Rattus norvegicus: one gene and its partner. The protein of the gene in region 2 binds, or shares a complex with, the protein of the main gene of each other region. Links are inferred from orthologs where the notes say so. Each region holds a gene or a part of one and is shown on either strand. Other genes may lie near its edges.

Region 1 (3,714 bases), on a different chromosome or scaffold from region 2:
GGGGCTGGAGAGATGGCTTAGTGGTTAGGAGCACTAACTGCTCTTCCAGAGGCCCTGTGTTCAAATCCCAGGGTGAACTCATGGTGGCTCACAACCATCTGTAATGGGATCTGATGCCCACTTCTGGTGTGTCTGAAGACAGTTACAGTGTACTCCTATATAATAAATAAATCTTTAAAAAAAAGAATTTTCAGAGAAGTTTAAAGTAAAATGTATATGAATTAGGAATGACCTAGAACTTTGGGAAGAGGCAGGAAAGGGGCAGAACCAGCCACAGAAGGCAAATTCTCATCAGAAACTACAGACCGGCAAGAGTGCTATCTCAATCACTTTATAGCTACTGTACTATACTATATTCGCAGACATTCGTACGTATGCATTCTTTTTAACATGGGAAGAAGAGCAGCAGCTGTAGTAGGACTGTAGTGCTTGGGTGGGGGAAAACTGGAAGAAGATAAACAGGAAGGCTCCAAAGCTACATACACGATAGAAACGGACCACGCTCCACCACAGCGATCACCACCATTCAAGTGAAGTAGAAACATCCTTAAGCCACTTACCTTCGGTATACAAATAATGTCCCTTCTATATCAGTCTTCTCCTGTAACAGACAACGACTCTGTCAGTTTTCCAGGAATAATCCAAGGTCAAATGATCTTGGTGAAGCACCTACACGTTCAGGCCAACTTGTCTTATTTACTGTGAAATCGATCGTGTATGTGCTCAAGGGAATGCACGCTGGCATTTGTGTACAACTGGAGAGGCCATCGGTCACTCTCAGGCGTCATTCCTTCTTTTGAGTCAGGGGGTCTCACTGGCCAGAAGATGGGCAATTTAGCTGCACTTCCTGGTCAGTGAGCTCCAGTGTTGTGTCATAAGCGCCTCCATGTCCCCAGAGGACACGTAAGTGCAAGCTACTACGTCCAGCTTTCTGTGTGAATACTTCAGGTTCTCAAGCTGGGGAGGCAAGCACTTCATCCACTGAGCTGTCTCTTTAGCCTCCAAATTAGTCACGTTTGAACAGGTAAAGCAATTCACTTTTTAAAAGAAATCTAAACAAATTATGTATCTGTTCACCCCTGTGTTTATGTATGTCCAACCCAACAATATGTGTACATCTGTAGCACATGTCTATTTTTGCCAGTGAGGAACATTTAAAGGGAAAAAAAAAGCGATTTAGCTTTACTTATTTTATGTATTAAATTTTTTTTTCAATTAGAAAAGATGTAGGGCTCTTTTGTCAGCATACGTATTTCTTTGTAACACATGTATGTGTGTACGTGGAGCTTAGAGAGGGCACTGGACGTCTTGGAACTGGAGTTACAGATGGGTCTGAACCATCATGGGGATGCTGGAAATTGAGGCAGGTCCTTGGGAAGAGCACCAAATGCTCTTAGCTACTACTGAGCCATTTCTCTGCCCCAGCTTCTCTCTGCAAACACTAAAACCTTTCAACTAGGTATCTTAATACTCCAGTCAAGGTATTGTCTACTGCAACTTAAAAAACCAAAAACTTGGAAAAAAAAACCAAAAACCAAACCAAACCAAACTTGAGCAGTCTATTGAGGTTTATAGAAAAAGAATGGAAACTTTCTTCAAAAGGGATACCAGGTTGAACTCAGAGCCTGGGCCTCATGATGCACAGCTGTGTAGCACTGAGCTAAATCCCTAACCCTCGGGACGTTTTCTTCTAAGATACTGTTTCATTTCTGGAGAATTTAGGACTATTTTCACGAGTTACACATTTTGTGGTGACCAAACACAATTTAATATTTTCAGAACTTTGTTAAGACTCGTGGATAGAAACCATTCTCTGCCTTAGACAAATGTGGTAGGTTTTTAAAATAAACGCCTGAAAATGTGATTAAGAAACTGTAACTTGGGTTGGGTATATAGCCCAGTGGTAGAGGAACAGTACAGTGTCTGCCTAGCATCAGGAGGAAATAGGACATCATGTAAATAGGTGCTTCAAGTTGAGGTTAACTAAAGTCAGTGAATGTAATTTCTGGAACTCCATGCCACTCACAAAATCCAAAAAGAACTAAGAAGTGAGCGATCAAACGTCCTATCACCGGTCTCTTTTTTTTTTTTTTTTCTTGTAAAAACGTCTCCAAGGAATCCAATTCTTACTGAAGTAGCCTTGAAATCTTTCTTTAAACTCCGGTGATACCAGTTCTGCTAAAGCTGGACTAACTCCTGAGACTGATTTTTAAGCTTCAAATCCAAATCATCACATTTAGGTCGGCAGGGAAAGAGGAGTGGATTTTGCAATCAAGAACACGTGATTTATCTAATAGTTTTCAAAGTCTCAAACACAGGTTTTCAATCACTTGTTAGAAAAAAAAATTAACTTGTCTCATATCCTGCCAATGCAACCTCAAGTCTCCAGAACCGACCCCAAAAAGACTGATCCTGCCTCATTCCTGTCCTCCATCTGATTTCCCTGTTATGTCTCTGGTGTACTCCTACCCTTCATTCCTCCAATTCCGCGTGTCCCTCCCCTTTCCCCCGTCATCTCTTCGGCTCTGGAAGGACCTTTGGGAGAGGTTCGGGCCTCGCCTTTGCGGTCCTACTCTGCTCCACACCCCACCCCCAATCCTAAGCTGTCTGCGCGGTCCCTTTAAGAGGCGGCAGCGGCCAGGCTGGCGTTCTCCACGGCTGGGCCTCACTCACCCACTGGTTGGCTTTGGGGCAGAAAGTGTACAAGGCGACCTGGCCCGTGAGGTCTGCGATGCTGGTGATGTAGGGGTCGTGTTGTTTCAAGGCCGCCAGACTCATCTCTTGCTCAGCTCGACTCAACAACTCCATCTTGGATCTCCAGGCCGAGCCCCTCGGGCGGGGGCGGACTGGAGAACAGGAAAGTGCCATCCAGGCAAAGTTCCCCCAGCTCAGTCAGCCGTCCACTTCCGCCTATCCGACCTGCCTTGCCGAGGGTGGTACTTCAGTTAATCTGATCCGCCGCTCCTATGCCCTGGGAGCCTGGTTCCGATCTTTTTAGGTCTGCGGCTGCCGGAAGGTACAGGCGTCCGCGCCTGCGCGGTGGAGCTTCGGCGAGCCGACATTCCGGAGTCCTCCTCTCTCACCTGGCGGGATCTGAACTTGTTCCTTGAGTGCTCCAGACTCCTGCCAGTGAGACCGCAGCCCAGCACATACCCTGAATCGAAATGCTTGCTGCTGTGGAAGTGAGGTTTTCATGGACCATTGAGAAAACTCAGACCAAGTGAGGAAAGGGAGCTGTACTTTACTTCCGAGCTGCACTTTCACTCTTAACTGTTTGGTAATTTTTGAAAGAAATGTTTCAAAGCAGCCAAACTAGCCTGCCTGGAACTACACTGTACTCGGCTTCCCCTCTTTGGCTTGTCTTTTCCTTCATCTGGGTCCTAAATAAATATTTCTGTTGTTCTAGAAAGACCTATTACGGGGTTGGGGATTTAGCTCAGCGGTAGAGCGCTTGCCTAGCGAGCACAAGGCCCTGGGTTCGGTCCCCAGCTCCGAAAAAAAGAAAAAAAAAGCAATATAGAAAGACCTATTACTTAAATAATAAGTAGATCTCTTAAAAAGCCAACATTATTGGGCATCCTAAGGGGTCAGGTACTACAAAGTAAAACAACGTGCTCAGCCTATTTTCATTGAGCTGCTTTAAAAACCATCGTTTTTCTTTATTGAGGACATCTCGGCACAAATGAACGTTTTTGAAAGGATAAACTTTACATT
Region 2 (2,325 bases):
ACATGCAGCACAGTGACTATAGTCAATAATATCTTTCATACTTGAAATTTCCTGAGAACATAGACCTCCTGTGTTCTCAATAGACACGCACACACTCCCAAATAGTAACTACAACTACATGTGGTGATGGCTGTGAAAATAACTCTATTTATGGCATAATTTCATAGGACAAACACATTGAAGCATCATGCTGTCTAACTTAAATAGTTTTTAATTTGTCAATTATATCCTCTAATTGAAAAACAATGGTTTTTACCTGTTGTTTCCTGGCCACACAAACTGGACGTGTGAAGAGCAGCAGGTATAGAAGTGAGGCTGTAACATGGTATAGACGTGGGCATGTGTGATGAGAGCTTTGTTCCTATGGAGAGAAAGAACGTGGACCATCCGGAGTAGGGACACTCGTCATTAGGTTGAAACCCCACAGATATTTCCATCTCTGTATTTATAGAGAGTTGTAGGTTGCTTATTTATCAGCACTTCAGTACCCACCATTCATTTATGAATTTTCTCTGTATATTTTAGGAGCCTTGTTGATACTGTCTATGCCTTGAAGGATGAGGTCAAGGAATTGAAGCAGGTAATGCAGTACCAAAAGTTATCTTCTCAGATGACAGACCAGCTCTGTCTTGTTGGCCACTGGGAGGTGGTTTCAGGAGGAGCTCAGGAGCAGGTACTAAGGGAGAGTTAGTATTTTCTTTGCAGTAGCAGGTAGGTTTTATTTCTTTTACCACGTGGCCTTGAATTTCTGAGCCTTTCTATTTATATATATGCAGCAGAGTCCCAAACTTACATATTGCTTTCTTGTTTCTTCACATCTTAAAAAACTGTAAGCAAGCTCAGGTATGGCAGTGCCTGTCTACAATCCTAGCCACTAGGAAGGTTGAGGCAAGGGTATCATGTATTTGCTAGCCTGGTGTAGCAAGACCTTGTCATGAAAACAAAAGAAAAGGAATAATGAAAGAGAGATAAAAGAGGAAGAAAGAAGATAGGAAGGAAAGACAGAAAAGAGAATTGTCTGTGGTGGTTTATAAATTTATGGGTAATGTAGTCCCATGCTCCATGACATACACACACCCTATATGATAAGACTTAGTGTACCTGTAGGAAGGGGACGCACAGTGAGAGGGGAGTTGAGAGCCTTCAGCAGCACTTGTGGAATACTTAGCAAATTCTGGATGAGCCCTGGTTTAGTCGTGAGCTGAGGCCGGCCAGTGAGGCCAGGAGGAGTAGAGGCATTGCAGAGTTGAAACTTATGACATATGATGGCGCAGTGCTGGGATTCGGAGAGAACAGACATTAGAGAAGCTTCTCCCCATGGTTATGTAATGTACTATGGTGGGCAAACTTTCAGCGATGCAGAAGCACTGGAAGAGGTTTCAGGCAATGGGGGAGGTGATACTAAGTTCCCTTTAGAATGGAATCATCTCTCTAGATGGACCTGCCCCTGACATGATCCTGTGGATCTGATACTCATAAGATGAAGTTGGCACTAGAGATATTTGGCAGCCTCTTAGTACACGCTTGTATCAAAAAAAAGGGGGGGGGGGATCCTAAATAAAAAAGTGTGGAGCAAGCTGTCTGTGGGGCAGGTTCAGACTGTGGGAACACTTGGATTAAAGTGAAGAGTGTGGGAGGCTGCTTACACATAGGCAGAGAACCAAGAGACAGCCTGCTCTCAGAATATGTAGTCAGAGTGAGGGATGCCATGAAGAGAAGGGGGAGGGGGAGGGGAGGAGGAAGAGGGGGGGGGAAGAACCCCTGAGAAGGGCTGCCTTGGCTCAGTGATTAATAACTCTTTTCCCTTCTAGGAGAATAAAAAAATGAAGCAATGTCTGGAAGAAGAATTGAAGTCGAGGAAGGACCTAGAAAAACTGGTCCGGAAGCTGTTGAAGCAAACCGATGAATGCATTCGCGCTGAATCCAGCAGCAAGACCTCGATTCTTCAGTAACCATCACTGTGCAGGGGAGCACAGTGCCTTCAGCACATGTTAAAATGGCCAGCTGAATGATATAACTGTGCACTTAAGCTTTGTGCTTTGTGGTGTTGGGATTCTTTCTCTCTTCTTCCCTCCTCTCCTACCCCCTCCCCCTCCTCCCACCCCTGCTGTTTGATTCAGTGTTTGTTGCTTGGTTATCAGTTGATTGACACTTGTTTTAACAGGGGAAATAGCCTGAGGTGGTGGTAAAAATGGCCCCGATATTTTGCTCTGCCCAACAGCCCTTAACTACCTAATCTGCTGGAGGCTAAGCTTCTCAGGCTTTGTTTAGAGTAGGTGAAAATGAACACCTTTGCCCAGTGACCCAGCTGCACCTCCCCTGACT

Evidence for each region. The genes of interacting proteins can lie anywhere in the genome.
Region 1: Arhgef6 (region 2) and Dcp1a share a complex: the UniProt entries of both Homo sapiens proteins name them as parts of the cytoplasmic complex. The link is inferred for Rattus norvegicus from reciprocal best matches to the Homo sapiens genes ARHGEF6 and DCP1A.

The regions. Positions count from the first base shown.
Region 1 is NC_086034.1:5,662,556-5,666,269, reverse strand, and holds the start of Dcp1a (mRNA-decapping enzyme 1A), read right to left. Parts: upstream 2,834-3,714; 5' UTR 2,809-2,833; coding exon 2,674-2,808; intron 602-2,673; coding exon 561-601; intron 1-560. UniProt on the Homo sapiens protein: Necessary for the degradation of mRNAs, both in normal mRNA turnover and in nonsense-mediated mRNA decay. Removes the 7-methyl guanine cap structure from mRNA molecules, yielding a 5'-phosphorylated mRNA fragment and 7m-GDP.
Region 2 is NC_086039.1:140,184,395-140,186,719, reverse strand, and holds part of Arhgef6 (rho guanine nucleotide exchange factor 6), read left to right. Parts: intron 1-525; coding exon 526-580; intron 581-1,811; coding exon 1,812-1,952; 3' UTR 1,953-2,325. UniProt on the Homo sapiens protein: Acts as a RAC1 guanine nucleotide exchange factor (GEF).